Caenorhabditis elegans: one gene and its partner. The protein of the gene in region 1 purifies or fractionates together with the protein of each later gene. This does not show direct contact. Each region holds a gene or a part of one and is shown on either strand. Other genes may lie near its edges. The genes, in order: dnj-9 and immt-1.

What was found.
Region 2: the proteins of dnj-9 (region 1) and immt-1 fractionate together in Caenorhabditis elegans (co-fractionation; one large-scale study listed by BioGRID). This does not show direct contact.

Annotation. Positions count from the first base shown.
Region 1 is NC_003280.10:4,848,791-4,858,622, forward strand, and holds dnj-9 (J domain-containing protein), read left to right. Parts: upstream 1-3,265; 5' UTR 3,266-3,266; coding exon 3,267-3,374; intron 3,375-3,422; coding exon 3,423-3,953; intron 3,954-4,000; coding exon 4,001-4,142; intron 4,143-4,369; coding exon 4,370-5,130; intron 5,131-5,490; coding exon 5,491-5,620; intron 5,621-5,673; coding exon 5,674-5,696; 3' UTR 5,697-5,735; intron 5,736-8,650; 3' UTR 8,651-9,009; downstream 9,010-9,832. Other genes in the region: nssp-16 (Neuropeptide-Like Protein), read left to right, coding at 1,422-1,541, 2,057-2,233, 2,439-2,510; F11G11.5 (Membrane protein BRI3), read left to right, coding at 9,143-9,187, 9,280-9,631, 9,733-9,832.
Region 2 is NC_003284.9:2,681,517-2,689,929, reverse strand, and holds immt-1 (MICOS complex subunit MIC60-1), read left to right. Parts: upstream 1-2,745; 5' UTR 2,746-2,772; coding exon 2,773-2,790; exon of another isoform or gene 2,791-2,854; coding exon 2,855-2,943; intron 2,944-2,989; coding exon 2,990-3,157; intron 3,158-3,209; coding exon 3,210-3,418; intron 3,419-3,463; coding exon 3,464-3,711; intron 3,712-4,179; coding exon 4,180-4,299; intron 4,300-4,349; coding exon 4,350-4,463; intron 4,464-4,892; coding exon 4,893-5,117; intron 5,118-5,184; coding exon 5,185-5,568; intron 5,569-5,654; coding exon 5,655-5,921; intron 5,922-6,604; coding exon 6,605-6,802; 3' UTR 6,803-7,176; downstream 7,177-8,413. Other genes in the region: T14G11.1 (Membrane-associated protein), read right to left, coding at 661-793, 842-937; ser-7 (G-protein coupled receptors family 1 profile domain-containing protein), read right to left, coding at 7,783-7,822, 8,086-8,124.

The DNA of each region.
Region 1 (9,832 bases):
TCGGTAGCTCTTTTTATTAATTTTCTCTTTTTTCACATAAAAATTATTTTATTTCAAGCCTGCTTATGTATTGATCCCAAATAAAATTTAGTAAATTGAATCAAGGTATACTTCCCAAGTATATTAAAATCTACTGCCATAGTCTGAAGTCATTACGTCAAAGTTATTATTGCCAACTAAATTTGACTCTAATTTGATTTTTCATAAATTGGAACTAAAGTATTTATTCTCTTCACTACAAATATTGTGTTTATTTTTCTTATTTCAAAAACATTTGCATCTGCACCCGATTTTTGAAAATCTTTGAAATCCGAAATCTCTTTCGAGACATAACACTTGAATGCATTTCTACCTACCTACCCAATCCTACCTATTTTCAGATCATTTCCCTCTTCTTTTCTTCATCTATGTCCAAGAACATATTCCTTTGCCCCAATGCACTTTGACATTTTATCTTTCCGCCCATACTCTCCCTCTCTCTCTAAAAATAGCTAATCCGCTTTTCCACTGCTTCTCGCCCCTATTTTTGGAAGCTGAGCTGAACGTTGATCTTCTCTTGGCCCACCCAAAAGATTTTGTACGGATTCATGACATGGAAGTGTTAAAATTTCGAAAATCCTACAATTTCCTATTATACAGCAACAACTATCGGGTCTCGACACGACAATTTTTGTGAAAAAAAGGAAAAGGTGTACGCCTTTTAAGAGTACTGTAGTTTCCAACTGATGCGGAATATTCATCAACTTTTCATAGATTTTTGATAAAAAAAATTCGAGTGCAACATATGGATTTAAACAAATCGTGAGAAAATCTATGAAAATTCCGCATTGACGAAAACTGGAATTTACAGTACTCTTTAAAGGCACACACCCTTTCGTATTTAACACAACTTTGTCGTGTTAAAACCGGGTGCCATATTTTGGAGATAAAATGCAAAATTTTCAATTGAACACCTTCACTCCAAATCACATCAAAAATCGAAATGAAACGAAATGAAATGGCGTTGGAGGTGGCTAATCATGCTTAAGTAATTCGTGTATTCTGCTCTATTTTTGCTGCTCCGTCGTGCTCTCATTCCAAAGACCCCAGGCGTAATTTACTTCCGGTCCGTCGCCGTCATCTCCACCCGACATGATGTATTCCCCCCTCTCCGAAACTCCTTATCAAGTTATGGTAGATTGAATAATTAGATCAGAAGTCTATATATCTCCCAAAAGAAACGATGTGTTGTTTTGAAGAACAACTCTTTCAATGTTTTCAATACTGTTTCGAACGACGTCATTAGTTTCAGAAAACATCTGCAAACGAAGCTCCTCCTCCTTCTAGACAATCATCTCTGTTTCTCTCTTTATTCTTTTTTTTTAAATCAGATTTCTCATCTGAAACATAAATATTTTCAGGTAAATCACAAGTGTGTTCAAATGAGCAACACTTATAATCACTTCGTGTTTCGATTTCTCTTTATCGTATTACTGCTCACACAATTCATAGCCTCCAGTCCCATGATGGTAGTGAGGAGAGTACCTACACCTTATTATCAGGTCAGTTGATCAAATTCTTATGATCTAAACATTTGTTTAATTTATGACTTTTAAATTATATCAAAAATATGTTAAGTGACATAAATTATGGATTTCAAGAAGTAAAAACTCTAGAAAATTACTTTCGTGGATATATAAATTAAAGCGTAATCGCGCTCCAACGCAAAAATGAAAACGATCCGCCCTCATAATTTGGGTCTCGTTAGGTAAAAGTTTTCAGGTTTTTTTTTGTATTGTTAAAAATATTCTCCGTTGTTTCTGAATAATAATTTTTATGTCAAAATTTATGTAATAAATGCTTTTTTTACAACGGAGAACATCACAAAAAATGCCCCAAAGCGGGTGAAATCGGCAAAACTAATTGAAAACATTTAAATTTACGGTTTTGCGCCAAATACCTAACGAGACCCATGGTTCGGGGGCGGAGCGTTTTACCGTGGAGCAAGCTTGAGCATCGCTTTCAAAATGGGGTCCACATATAATTTGAGATAAATTTTAAAATATTTATTTTTCAGACAATACAAAAATTAGAACGAATGATTGATAATGAACAAGTATTGAGAAGATATCGAAAGAGCATACCCGATGGTTATTTCGACGAGTTCTCAGTTCTCACTGATGTACTGGACAGGCAACGACGGGGTCAACCGATTTCTGATTATACCGACGAGTTTAGTGCAGATCCTTTCGAGGTTAGTGTGAACTTTGAGCATCGTAGCGTCAGAATTCATCTGCACAAAATGGTTTCACCTGTTCATGTGGGAAATCGTCAAAAATCATGAATAAATGCCAGCTGTCGGGTAGACTGAACTTGTGCAATACCACGTGATAAATGGCAGAAATTCTTAACACAAAAACTAGAGAGATCACGAAGTAATCTGATTAATTAATATTTAGATTTCAGTTTCCCCTCCGATCGATCAAGCAGAAAGGGAAACAATGACACCTGTTCCAGCTGCTTCACGGTAGTCTTCAATTCTTCAGTAACATCTTCTGAACCATCAACACGTCATTCTAGCGTAATCCCTTCTGTATCTCCTCTTGATCTTATCGCCAACGCCCCCTCACCTTACATTCCACCAACATCTCGCCAACCAACCAAACAACAAAACAACAATCCTTATTTATTATTATTATTATGTTTTTTTTTTGAATTCCAACAAGAATTGAATAATTTGATATTACCTTGTTGATTGTGATCTATTCTTATTTTAAGATCTCTCCGTATATGCCACACAGTGCCCTTTACGCCTGGATAAATTGGATTTTGCATTAAATTGTGAATTGAAATGAACAAACCGCATCATGCAATAAACACATATCTTTTGTTTTTTATGTGGAAGACTGGAAAATCTATGGAAAAGTAAAAATACAGTATAAAAAAATGCAGTATAAAACTACAGTAGTTCGACCAAAACTGCCAATTTCTTGATATTGAAAAACTCGTGTTCAAACTCCCGCTGAAAATCAAGAAACGCGCAAGGGGTTATGCTGGCGCTTTTTCAGTGCGGGTTGGCGCAATTGCCGATCAATTGTTTTTTTTTGAAACTGTCATGCAAAAAAAATGTTTTCGTTTGTTTTTTAATGTCTGAAGTTCGAAATTTGATTTAATTTTTAAGAGTGCACTCAAATATTGATGTTTTTATTAATTATTTTGTGTCAAAAGTATTTTCCCTTAAATTGCATCAGTGATATCAAATTTCTAAAAATTAAAAAAATTACAGGATGTCCATGTCCTCAAGTTCTTCTATATGTGGCGATGAAGACGGAGATTTGCTACTCGATGAAGAGGAGGAAATCGATTTTTACGCAATTCTGAATGTTCCGAAAGATGTATTTAAATTGTAATTTTGAAAAAAACCGTAACCTATTATTTTCCAGGCGACAGATGATGAAATTATCAAAGCATACAGAAAGCGATGTCTCATGTTCCATCCTGATAGATTTGTCGATAATGACGAGAAGAAGGACGCTGAACGAGTTTTTGTGAAACTTCGGAGAGCTCATGAAGTCTTGCTGGATCCAAAGCAACGAGCAATATACGATGCTCTTGGAGTTCAAGGCCTTGACACACAGGGATGGGAGTTGGTTTCAAGATCTGCTAATCCAGAAAACATCCGGAAGGAATATGAATTCCTACAACGTCTGAAAGATCGAGAATTGATGCTCCAACGAGTTCATCCAACGAGTGCTTTTATGATAAAAACGACAATCGCTGGAATGTTTCAAGAAAACGATGAAGATAGATATCCTCCTCAATTATTAGGAATTTCACTATCTCAATCTGTTGATTGTGCATTTACTGGTGTTGATCGTTTCGGTCTTTCGGGGAGAGTTAAAACTGGAAATGGACGTGGAGATGGAAGTGTTTCAGCTGTTTGGAAACGAGTAGCTGGAAGTTATAATCTAGAGGTACGATGATACAATGAAGTTTATAATGATACAAATGTTTACTTCAGAACACTATTTCACTATCCGCCGAGTCTGTTTCATTGACATGTCGTGCCGCTCGAAATGTTTTCACCAGAGCTGCAGTGATCGTACAGCCGCAGTTGCAATATAATATGCTTCACGAAGCAATTATTCCATCTATTGCCATGAGTATGTTAAATAGAATTAAAAAGGTGTATTCTGAAAAAGACCGCCTATTTACTGATTCTTCAATTTTCTGCAAGATTCCATGTTCATGATTTTTGTACAAATTTGCAAGAAATAAAATGTACATAATTTTTTAAACTCTCAATTTTGCACAATAATTCTCCAAAAAATATTCGAAAAATTAATGAAATTAGCATTTTTCCGAAAAAAAAAACTTTAATAACTTGCAGTTTACTCAATGCGGTTGCACACTCGATGGCAAGGAAGTATTGTACTGAACATCTCCCCAATTGCAAATGCTCTTACAACTACAATGGTCCATACAGAGAATAATCATGCGAAGGCTGTAGGAAGTCTGACGTTATCTCCAATTAATTCGAATGTTCGTCTAGTTTACTACATTCGGAAGCCGGAAAATGATTCAATAACCGAAATGTCTGTTCAATTGACAACATATGGTGTCAATCCAGCTATAAGCATGGATCGTAGATTGTCGAGATATTCAAGAATATCATGCTCATTCCATTTCTCATTCCCATCATGTTTATTGTATACGAAATTCAAATTAAAAGCTGGACAATCAACTTTTGACTGGCAAATTGTGCTCTGTGATGACAAAGAAGCTCTTTCAAGAAGTGTACTGTATGGAGTCGCAATTCCATATTTCTCATTCCAACTTGCTAAAGTGATCTTCCGTCCATGGTGGGAAAAGTTTAAATCAATGTTTGAGGATAATTCTCGTGAACAAGAAGTTGATGTTGCTAAAAAAGAAGAAGCCGCGAATATTGTGAGTTTAATGAGGGCAACTGCTGAAAGAATTAAACGAGATGAAGAATCAAAACAAGGAGTTATCATTGAAAGTGCAAAATATGGACAATGTGATGTTAGTGGAACAAGAGCTTATCCATTGGCTGGAGAACGAACGATTGACGTCACAGTTCCACTTCAAGCTATGGTCAATGACAGTCAATTGAGAGTTTATACCGTTAAGGTAAGCAATACATTTTCTTAAAGCCTCTTCGTAAAATCGAAAAATCAAAGAACAAAAATTTTCGATTTTCTGAGAAATTGAAAAAATCAAAAAAAAAATTTAGAAAATTGACCATAAAAATTTGTTTCTCAAATCTAGTTTAAGTTGATGAAAAACAACAAGAAAAAAAAATTTGTATGAAAAGAAGGAAAATAACCAAAATTTTAAGCTTTTTTTCCAAAAATGGTTTTTTTTTTCAAAATATCGGAAAAACGAAAAACCGGCATCTTCGCTTAGTTTATCAAAAAACTAAATCTTTACTCTACAAATGTTTTATGAAAATTTCAAAAATTTCCACTACTAAAATCTAATCATTTTCAGAGTCAACTACCAGGATTCTACGATCCATGCCCCGGAGAGCCCAAAATGCTCACAGTCCGCTACATTTTCCGTGGAGAAGAGCATTCTTGCACGGTTGCCGACGAAATGCCGTTGATGCTCCCGCTTAGAGGTGAATAGATCAAAAATTGATTAAGAAGTCAGCATTTTTGTTTATTTTTACAGCTCACCGCCTGTCCAGCGAATAAACGTAAACATTGCGATGGTTTGGAGTGAGTCAGTCAGCGGTAAGTTTTTTTTTGCATGTGAACGTGATTGTGGAGCTGATCTTTGCTAACAAAATTCAAAAAATTCTCTAATGTCTAATTTATCCAAAAATTCGTCAGAACTTTGCGGTGTCTACATAATTTTTTGAAAACTATTTGGATCTCACAAGTTTCTGAACATCATCAAAATTAAGCTCAAAAAGAACTCAAAAAAACACAAAAAGTTGCGTTTTTTTTTGGCTATCAGTTTTATAGAAAAAAAAAACTTCAATTAAAAATCTTCACCGTTCCGAAATCTTTACTCGTAAAACGGCCGTCACCCTGACAGATCATTAATGTATTCCACACGATTGTAGTAGAGATGATGAGAAATAGAGAAAAAGAGAGCGCACCCACGTTCACTTTCCTTGTTATTCCTCGATTTTCGAAACGAAATAGTTACGAAACATTTGAATGTTCTAGAATTTAAAACGAAGATTTGTCACACTTTCTGCCTTGTTTTCAGCTGTTCGATTTTTGTTTTTATAACTAAATGTCAGTGCCTTGTTCACCATTTATTCCATCTAGTTTTCTGCAAACTACTCTTCACTTTCTTAAGTTTGTCCCCCCGCTCTTGAACATTTGTTTTAGAAGTATTAAAAAAACACCTGCGGCTAAAATCAATAAACTATCTGGTAACAGCTGACGCCCCCAACGCCCGTTTCACTCGACTTTAGAGACAGTTTTCGATAGAGAACGATTCAATAATTGGTTCGCGAGGCAACAATCGGGTCAACTGTAGTGACGTAATTCTCTTCACCTCCACTACTTCTCAACATTGTCCAGACCAAAAATTTTTTGATTTTTCGCGAAAAATACGGGTCTCGACACGCTTTTTTCAATCGAATTTTCATAGATTTCCGTTAAAAACATATTTACTTGAAAAACTACAAAACAATTAAAAACTTTGCAAATCTTGCAAAAACTGTAAAATTCTTTAAAATTCCACCAGAACGAAAGTTTAGTACTACAGTACTAAAATTTAAAAACAATTTCGTGTCGGGACCGAGTACCGCATTTCTGGCGCAAATTTTCGCGTATGGGTAATAATATTTCGTCTTCTCATCGTTGACAGATTTTACATTTTTTCGTCTTCTTCTTTTTTCTCTATCTTCTCTCGTTTTCCTTCCATTTCCGCCCGGAAGTTGCACTCTGATTTGCTCATTTTTCTCTATTTTCTCTAGAATGTTTCTATCTTGTGTTCGTCTCGATCCTAACGAGCAAGAATGACGAATGTTTTAGCTGTTCATAAATCGATTTGATTAAAGTTTTGGATATATTGTTGAAAAATAACTAATTCAATGATTTTTGAGTAGCGACAATGCTTTTATTAGCTCAATGATTAATATTCCAGATACAATTTGCAATATCATAAAAGTTGAAAATTTTATACTGATTATTCGTAAGAATTTCATTGAAAATTTAATGAGTCACATTTTCGTCTCCCTCTGCCAATTTCTTTGACTATTGTATCACTAAACCGGTTGTCGTCCTCTTCTTGAAGTCGCCATGGTTGTTGTATTCTACTACACAACGTCTTCTTTTTTCTTTCTGTTTCGGTCTGACGTCTCCAGGGATAAATTCTAAAACATTAATACATGTGTTTTGTTTTTTTTTTAAAGATTTTTCAATTTTCTTAGTTATTTACTGTCCCCCACAAACTATTTTCGCCTAGAATATTTCTCATTGTGTTATCAGAACATGTTCTAGAACAATACCTGAAATATTGCGAAATATTAAAAAGAAAAAAGATCTCGTGGTCAGACACGGGACAAATGTATTTCATATGGCATAATCTTCTTTTGATTTTCCCCTATTGAGATTAGAAAACGCGCGAGACTAGAGATCCATATCTCACATTCAATTGAAAACAAACGAAGCAGACGCTTCTTGTGTTTGAGATTGTTCACATTGATATTAGCTTTTTTGCAAAAAATAGTTAATTTTCAGAAATTCCAATCACAGAAAGCTCTGAATTTTCTTTCTGCTATTACCTTTTACGTCAAAAATACGGTACCCGGTCTCGACACGACAAAAAAACTGAAAATTCTAAAAAAAAAACTTTCGAATTTCCATCAATTTTTCATTTTTTTTTTGATTAAAATAATAATTTTAACAAATCGCGAGAAACATTATAGAAAATCGATTAAAATTCCACAACAACAAAAATTTGAAATTACAGTAATCTTATCAGTTTGCATATAACAAAATTGTCGTGTCGAGACCCGGTACCGTACTTTTGGCGCACAAAAGCCGCAATATTCCGCGTATGGGTAATAATATTATTGATAGTAGGATATTTTCGCTTACTATTTTTTAATTTAAAATTAAAATAGTCACTTTGTCTCTAATTTCAAGTGTCAGAGGCAAATCGACGTTTTTATTGTTGAAATCTATAGAAAACGAGAAATTTTTTTTTGCCAAAATAGGTATTTTCTGTCAAGTTATAAAACTTACATCCTACAAAAGCTAAAAACTGCTTGGCTTTTTTTTTATCAATCAAATCTGTTCCTCTCGAAATTATCCAGATAGTTGAACTACAGTAACCCAGATTATTCAATTGTGATAATTTTGATTATTTAACATTCATCGGTGGTATCCCTGGCTCTTTTGAATAAAATGTCACTGTTGCATGTTGAAATTATCATATTAATATAGAGTGCTGGGACACACCGACCACAGCAGCAAACACTGTTTCAAACGATTTTTCTCTCATCGTCTCCTCTTCCATTCACTCTCTCGTCAATTCAGTCTCTGTCTCATTCGTTGGCCAGTGTTATCATATTATCATTTTGTCCGCGCTGAATACATTTTTATCACAAAGTGAACCCTCCATTACCACCACTCACTGTGTTTTTTAGGAAAAAATCGATAAAAACAAAGATTTATTTTTTCAGAAGAAAAACATCGTCTGCAACCAAGGGAAATCATCTCCAACGCCAAATCTTGTTTTTTTTTTTTGTATTTGAACAGATTTCTTTAAATAGCCCGTTTTTTTGTTTGATTTGTTCTTTTTTTTATGTCTTTCTCATAATTTGTTTCTCCTTCTGCCTTTTTTAAAAAAATTAAATGTAATCAGAATGCTCAATTTTTCTATTTTTGTTTCTCAGTGTTTTGCTCAAATCCCAGTACAGTCGACTCTTCTTTTCTTCTTGGTTATTTATATTTGACAACGTGTTTTCTTCTTTTCTTAATATTTCATTAGGATTCGCTTTTTCATTAGATTAGGCTATATTTATAGATAAAGACCACAAAAAATAATAAGATCTTTTATAAAATTGAACTCTTCTCGGAATATTGGTTATTTTCCAATCGTTGCATTCATTTTTCATTTGTAAAATTATTCTCGAGATTTTCACTCAAACGCTCACGTTTTCAGATTTCTAGAAATGACCGGTCATCAGGATCCAGTTAAGCAGCCTCTTCCAGACAGTGTGAGTTTTTTTTTTGATTAAAAAGCCATTTGAACTTGAATTATATTTTCTCGAGTTCTATACATTAAAAATAATTCAAAATAAAATTTCAGCCTCCAACTGACGAAGGAATGTCAAGCTCATCAGCTCAGCCATCGGCTCCATCAGCTCCCGAGCAACAGCCAACATCGCCGTCTCGTCCACCTCCACCGGCTGGATTTGTCTATCCCAGCACAGACATTCAAAACTCTTCAGAAGTTCATGTCAGCGCTCCAGTTCCAGCAGGACCACCACCACCGCATGCTTCTGCTGGACCAGCTCCTACTATGAGTTCCTACGATATGCCACCACCATCCTATCAGGCTGCCATGTCATATCCAGCTGCACCGACGTACGGTGGATCGACTGATCCTAAATATCACAATGGAGGGCAACCGCCGATCTACTACCAGCCACCACAGATTAGTAAGTTTTAATAAATCTTTGAAGCTCGGAAAGCAACAAATAACTTTTAATTTCAAACAATAACAAATAAGTAATCCGTTTTTTATATTAAACATTTTCAGCACAAACGCGTCTCCCACAACCGGCCGCAATTGAGCAGATCGTTCGAGCAGTTCGTATTCAAAATCCTGCTGGAAGTAATGTCATAGTTCATGTTCAACC
Region 2 (8,413 bases), on another chromosome or scaffold:
ATTTTCGTCACTCATAATTTTGGAAGTTGACCAAAAATATGTATTTTCTACGACTTTCACACTTTTATTTTGTATTAATTATATCTATTGAAACATTCTAACATGCGACATTGCTCTGCATTTCTTTGAAATTTCATATTTTTCCAAAAGCTTAGCAATTTGCCAACACTGTGCTTAACTTTGTTTGGAGTGTTTTATTATTTAATCGGTCGTTTTAAATCATCATAAGTATACTTAAACAAAATCCACACTGGTGCTACTCCACCTTTGAAATTTAAAACTTAAATAGACCATAAATAATTTTTTTTGATCGACGACTTCCAAAAAGTGGCAAAAATTTAGATTTTTCCAATTTTCAAAAAAAAATCATATACAATTTTGATTTTTCTAAAGAACATTTTCACTATGATACCCCATCTTTAAAAAATTTCAAATGTTTTTGATTAAGTTTAAATTTGAAGTATCATTTCACTTTCAAGATACTGTTAATCGTGTTGATTTTAACATCGCATTCCGTTTTGTCAATATTGTATTACCAGCTTTTGATTCAGTTTTAATGTAAAAGTCATTACAAGAAAATGGTTTTTTGAAAAGTTTGCACAGTCATCTGCTCTCAGCTTCTACACAATTTATTTTTTTGCAATGCTAAACAAGACTTACCAATTGCATGACAGGGTTCTGTGTTCTTCATGTAAAGTTGAGCCACCTGCAAAGCGTCGATGTCGGTTGTGCCGTTTTTTGTGCTCATATCTTCAATGAGAATCCAGTCTGTAGACATCATTGCGAAAATTGCCTGAAATATTGGAGAATACTATTATTGAAGTCATGTGCAAAAGCTTACCAGAATAGCTGCAACGGTGTGGAAAGAGGCGGCTGGAATATTGGCATCACGAAAATCCATCCTAGTGCATAATGATCCAAGCTTGGAGAAAAACATTTTCTGGAAACGTCTAAATGGGACAAAGTAAGAGTTAAATAAGAAAGTAAAGAAAAGTTGACATAGAATTTTCTGTGACCCTGCCTCGGAATATTTATTCAATGTGCCTGCTGACGAAAAAAAAACACGAAAATGAAAAGAAGCAGCGAGCCCATCGAGCCCGAGGGAAATTGAGAAAAGAAAGAGAATCAATAGCGGCGGATGAGAGGGTGCAAACCCGAGGAAAAGGCAGCCCCACTCTCACTGCCACATCGCTTCGAGACCCTCGCTTCAAACTACGGTGAATATACTCTGCGTCTCTTAAGCATTGCTGGGCATGTTAAAATTCTTGCGCTTTAATAAGTTGTGTATGGTGACTGAGAATTTGTATATTTCAAAATTCTATTTGAATGGAAAGAGTTAATTGGAAGAAAAATGAAAAAAGAAATTGAAAATCAATTATTTTAAAAATAAAATATAAGTTCTAACACTACCAATTTCAAGTACACTGGCCTAACCAAACAAATGACCTTGGCGATTTTTTTTCAACATGAAATGCCCAGATACAAACACCATTTATCAATTGTACACTGGTTTCTAATGGTTTCTACTATTTTTTTAGTGCATTATCAATTTTTAAAAATTTCCGGTAAAGTGTACATATCAGGGGTGCGCGGCAATTTCGGCAAATCTACAAAATGAGCCAAAATGAGCAAAAAGTGATATATTTTATTAAATGTTAAAAATAAAATATAGAAAAACACTTTTTTTTTAATCTAAAAGTAATGTTTTATTTAATATGAAACAACTGTAAAAATGCTCAAAAATAGTATGCAAGTTGAAAATTGCCGGAAATTATTTTCCATAATTTGTGGGATATTTTTCCGGCTCTTATTAAATTAGAGACAATTTCTAAGCAGTTTTTTATTTTTATTTTTATGAATTATATTAAAGATGTTTTCAAATAAAGCAAACATTTTTCTGAAGTTTAAGGAAATATCTGGTACTATATGCTGCACTTTTGCTGCACTTTTTTGCGTACAAATGTTGATTTCTAAATTGAAAAGTTACACAGAACAGTAAAAATTCATGTTGCATAAAATTTTAGGACGTTTATGGCACTTCAAATATCTTTAAATTTGGCCACTTTTCCAAGTCGTAGTAATCCAAAGCTGCTATTTTAATACTATAATTTTTTCCTATCGGTTTTAAATGTATTTTAATTAACAAAATTACGGTACTTCTGTAGTGTTTACAATTCTGAAAAATTAACGTTACCCTTTTTGTCGATATTAGGCTTAGGACTAAAGTTTTTTTAAGCTTAAAAATACAACCAAATTCCGCGTTTTGATTAAATAATCACTTTTAAAAGTGTTGGAAAATTTTTATGGACCAGGTGTGCGATACGGAAAAATGGCCGAAATTGGAGATTTCACTTGAAATACGTTTTTTTTTCGAAATTTTCAACCGGCAAAAACTACTTTTTGAAAATTTTTAATGAAGTTTCATTATAAAATTCGTTTATTTGAGCTCATTTTGGGTTTATGCGTTCAAAATGTCCCAAACGTTTAATGCATCGGCAATTTCCCTTTGTTTCCCTGCCACACTCTTCCAATGCCTCCCCACACAGCCATTCTTCCCGTCGTCCCGTACGCACTTACAAAAGATACACAGACATCGATTGCTGGCGCGTTTCTCGTGCATGACGCGCAACTTAATCTTCGAACACTAAACAATATGTTTATTTCTTTTTCGATTGCACTCTCTTGATTATTTTGATTTTTTCTTGATTTATATAAAATTTCGTTGTAAAATTTATTACTTTTTAGGTAAATTATTCGCTGCTCGTCGCGGAAATGTTTCGTATTGCATCGGTGAGTTTTTTTTTCATTAAAAAAATGCAATTTTTAGTTTAAATGTATAATTTTTTCATTTCAGAAGCGATCAGTCAGCCAGACGTTGAAAAGAGCCCGTCAACAATCAAATCAAGCCGCTGCTCCACCGAAGCCACCAGTTCAACCACCAAAGTAAAACATACACCAAAATCGATAATAAAAACGCGTCGTATTTCAGAAAATCCGGAGGTGGCAAAGGATTGGCTCTTGTCGGAGCAACCGTTGTTGGAGCTGGTGGTGTTGTCGGATACGCGTATGTCGACCCTGAGTTCCGTCACAAAGTCGAATCCACTGTTCCGCCAGTGAAACAAGTTTTCGACGCAGTTTTGGGAGAATCTAGCTTGCAGTAAGCTTTATTTACTAAAAAAGTGACAGTCTTAACGATAATCCTTTTTCAGGAAGACAAAACAACAGATCGGTGACCTCAAGGATGCTGTAGTGAACGCTGTCCCAAAAAAGAAGGAAGTTCTTCCTCCATTGGAGCTCGCGCCACTGCCGCCTGTCCTTCCAAGAGAGCCCACACATGTTGACCCAGTGGATGTTCGCAAAGATGTGACCCCAATGATCCCAAAACCTTCTCCAGATGTCGTCTTTGCCAAGAACCAACGTAAGATTTTTTAAGCGTAATTTTCATAACAGTTTAAAGTTACAGAACTTGAGGAGAAGCTTAAAATCGCAATTCACTCTGCTGAAGGAAAAGTGCGTTTAGCCACTGAGGCCAAGCTGAAGACCATCAATGCGATCAATGAGCATGCCAGTATTCTCAAGCAAACCGTCGATGATGCTAAGCACGCCAACTGGGAAAACGTCACTTCTGCTCTTCAAAGAGCCGAAGCTGAGGCACGCGTCGACAGTGGCCAAGAGGTGGACGGGAGAAACTACATTGATAACCTTCGCAAGGTATCTTTTGGTACAGCCTAACACCCAAAAAAAAATTTATGTTTGAAATTTTGAACCGCAATGACACAAAATTTTTAAATTTTTTGAGAAACTTCATTGCGAAATTCTTTTAATGAGCACATTTTGGTCTTACACCTTCATAATAAAATACCCAGAGTCGTTAGACCATTGGAAACTAGGACTTGACTAAACCGGACTAAATCTGTCGTCCGGTCTGCGGAAGTTCGGCTATCTAGTGCCTGTTTTTGAACTGCTACACAAGTTATTATGTGACAGGTCCTATGATTTTTGTCTTGTTGCAATACTTCGACCCTGTTTTTTTTTCAAAATTTGTAAAAAGGACCTCTTCCAAGCTCATTTACGAAAAGGAATTAAATGCAACTGAAAATAGAGACGCTTGTTTAATATTTGATTAAATGCAAATTTTTAATAATAACTATTTATTTTTCTCAATTCGGACATTTACAGATTGTGAACGATGGAAAGCGAGATTCAACTACCGCCACAAATCCGCTACTTCTGAATGCTCAAGAGACTGCTAATAAGCTTTCTCATCAGCTTGATGAGATCAACGCATTGGTCAACAAGGTATTACATGCATTGGCACTTTTACCAAAAATTGTCAAAATTGTTTTCAGTCTCGTCAAGAATCTGCAGTCCTCAATCAGTACAAGGATTTGATTGAGAAGTCTCGTCAACAGTTTGCTCTTGAGATGAAGAGCATCTTGCCAAATGTTGATATTCACGCTAAAGTGAGTGACGAAAAAAATAGAAGGAATGGAGTCCATCCTCGGTTTTTTATAAAATAATGAATTTCTGTAATAGGCTCAAATGAGCCTATGATTTTGCTAAGGTGCATTTATGAAATTTTTGTAGTCAAAAGCAAAAATTATATTTATAGTTGATATGTACTCTCGGTAAAGTCAGAAGAATACAACATACCTTTAGTACAAATAGTTACAGTACAAATATATTTGAGATCACAATTTTTACAATTTTTTATAGATGCTGACTGATTCAGGAAGATATTTCAGCTGAGGATTTGATAGGAAAGGCTTCTGTTATTTTTCACAAATTGAAAGTCGAATATCAAACGTTTAAAATTTTTGACTAAACGAAAAGCCTTTTTGACATTGTTTCCTAAAATACAAATTTGAAAGTTCACATAAATTCATTTTCAGGACAAAAATCTCAACGAAGACGAACTGAATGCATTGATCGCTCACGCTCATCTCAAAGTTGACCAGCTTCGTTGTCAGCTTTCGGATCAGCAAGTTCGCGAGGAACTGCACATCTCAAAGGCTCTTGAAGAGCAGCGACTTGCCGATGAGCGGATCGCGTCTGAAAAATTGAGCATTGAGATGAGCCGTGTTGGCCGTCAGAATGAGTTGGAAATCGAACGAGCTGTAAGTTTGTTATCAAATTTGGGGTTAAAAGTTGTTTTTCCTCAAATATTCCACTTTTTGATTTCAGCTTGTGGAAAGCCGTTCATCATGGGAAGGTGAGCTGGAGAATCAATTGAAGCGCACCGCCTCGGCTCACTCTGAGCACTTGGAGCAAGTCATCCGGACTCAGAGACAACTCTTCGAGATTGAACAGAATCAGAAGGTAGAGGAGGCAGTTTTGCAAGAGCGCAATCTTCACAGCAAGCAAGTTGGTGCTGCGTTGAGCCGACTGGAGGGAATCGAAGAGGCTCTCGGAAGCCGAGTTGCTCTTGACAACGAAAACCGTCGCGCCAAGCAGTTCTGGATTGCGTGCCATAATTTGATTGACACTTTGAAACATGGTAACAAGGCCGGAAACAACATTGATGAGAGAAGACTTCCATTGAACGAGTCTTTGAATCTTCTCAAGGAGGTTAGCGAGTTTGTCAACGAAATCAACTTTTTTACATTTTGTTACTATTCTACATTTTCATTTTAATCTGAATTTATCGTTTTCAGGTCAATCCAGAAGACGAGTTTGTCAACGCCATCATCGACTCGTTCCCAAAACAAGCGACCACAGTTGGCACATACACTGAGCAGGATCTCAAAAACCGCTTCGAGCAACTGTACAAGATTGGTCGCAAGACTGCTTCTATCGATGAGAACGGAGGAACCTTAGGAGCCTATTTCTGGTCGTACGTCAAATCCCTGTTCCTCGTGGATATGCCACAACAGTATGGAAATTTAGATGCTATTGATGTGAACAACACTGATAACTATGAGGTGAGGATAGATTTGAGTACAGAATACATTAGAGTGGGTCATAATTATGCGGATACGTAAACAACTCTGCTCTGCAACCCCTAGGTGATTGAACATGATACATAAAATTGTATAGCTCACATATTCCATAAAAATCTGGTCATGATTCCATTTAAAAAATTTAAAAATATTTCCATCCACGTTGCTCCTGACTCTTAGAAATTTTGAGGTTGGATTTTTGGCAGCAGATTAGCAGATCACTTTTGGCGTTTTCCACTGTTTTTTTTTTAGAATCCGGCAGAAATTCCGTACTTTTATAAGAATACTCCAGATTGTGAGATACGCTCGTATGACTTCGTGGTTGATTAGTAGTCATGTTAAATATCATTAAAAATATGTCAGCTTTAAGTAACGTAATGAACCCACGTTTAAAAACTGTCAGGTTTGTAAAAATCGGGCTTTTGTCTTCATAACTCGGGTCTCTATAAATATGACCCCGTTGTGAAAAATAAATTTGATTCGAATGGCAACATTCTTATTCCGATCAAAAAAATCAAAATTCTTATCTCATAATTTTTATTAAAATGCTTGTTCTTTATTCCGAGAGCTTCCCAGTCCCGTACGATGTCCGTACAAAAAATATCAAGTTTTTTTAAAATTAGAATTCAAACGTTTTGTAAGACTAGTGAAACATTTTTGTTCAGATCCTTTCCCGCGCCAAGCAGTACGTACACAATGGTGATCTCGATAAGGCGATTCGCGTTGTTCAACTTTTGAAGGGTCAGCCAGCTCATCTTGCTCGTGACTGGATCGTCGACACCCGCTCCTACCTCGAGTCTCGCCTTCTCGCCCAGCTTCTTGTGGCTCACGCCGCCGTCTCCTCGATTCGCTCAACTTATTAGAACAATTGATTGTCTTGCGTCACCGTTTTTTAAAATTGTGTTCTACTGGTTTTCACTACACTCATTTTATTTTTCTCTATTTCTCACCCTATTTAAAACGATCCAAATGTTTTAAAAACGTTTTGCTGCTAGTAGTATTGTGTGTGTGTCTTTTAGAAACCAATTTCTTGTTGGTAGTTTATAGTAGATGGGTGTGTGCACATTTTCTCCCCGTTTTTTTTTCCAAACTCTCGCCGTCAATTTTTTCCAAGTTTGTGTAGTTTTTCGAACCGTCGATGTATTGAATAAATGTGAAAATTTTACAATTTTTTACCAGAAATAAGTATGATTTGTAGAAGTTTGAGACAAACAAATAAAGAATCTCTAGAAGTGCAGTTGCGGCAGTTGGGGAAATTGTTAAAAGTCACACTTATGGTGTCAAAAGGAAATTCATTTGTTTTTATACAATTTTTAGACATCGGGTGGTTAACAAATTGATCCAAAAGACCGAATTTACTAATGAGATATTTTAAATGATATCCAAAAAAATTTTTGAGGTTTAAAAAAAATAAAATTTCAAATTTGAACAATTTATCCGTCTATGTAGTTGCGATTTTACAAAAAAAATTACATTTTTGTCGTAATTTCAAACTGCCGAAACAATTTTTTTTCTAGTCAAAGTTTTGGCGAATTGCTATACTTTTCAAAACAATATGTAACCAACATTTTCTGTTTTGATGGACTTCCAAAATTATAGGTTGTTATACTGTCCAATACATTTATTCAGAAGTTATAAAACTTTATACAAAGTTGAGGCAATAGGTGTCACACACCTTCTGAAATGCACATAATTGCAATGCTAGAAAGCATGAGAAGCATTATACAACGGGAGAGGAAAGTCACGTAACCTTACTTGTGTACCGACAAATTGAAAATGAGAATAAATCAGATGAGAAAAAAATAGTTAATAAATTATGAAATGGTACATAATGTGTAGTGTGCTAGACGTCACTTGCTTCGTGACTGTCATTGCGTCGAGATCTGAAAATATCATACGTACAATTTTGAAACAGTGTCACGTGCAAAGAATCAAAATCATTTCACTTTAGAAGTAAAACTCATGCAAAACGTTGAATGTTTGGAAGCAAATCGCAAACCAACACTGAGAAAAAATCGCATAAAATCGCAAACTCCATGCTTTTAAAAAGAAGAAAAAGGTAACACTCGAATAGAAGAAAGAAAAGTTAAAAACGTGATGTAGTATATAACAGTTGAGATATATGGATAAGTAGGGTTATACTCACAGAAGCGGTCGATAGCTGGAAGATTGGGTTCGGTAGCGACTGTAAACGCGCAGAGTCAAAGAAATTAATAACCTGGTGTTGTGTTTGGCCGTTTGACGCGGATTCTCTATCAATAGACTGTTGTGGTGTGATTGTGAAAAGTGGCACGGATGGTGTTTTTCTAGGTTTCAAACATAATTCTGATGGAAATTCAACCCAAACAGCTTGTAAGAAAGACCATCCCACCCACATTCCTTATTAACACGGGAGACTTTTAAAAGTGGAGTTGCGCCAGTTTGATGGTTCCAAAATGACCAAATATCATAGTGAACTTGAATAATAATTTCAA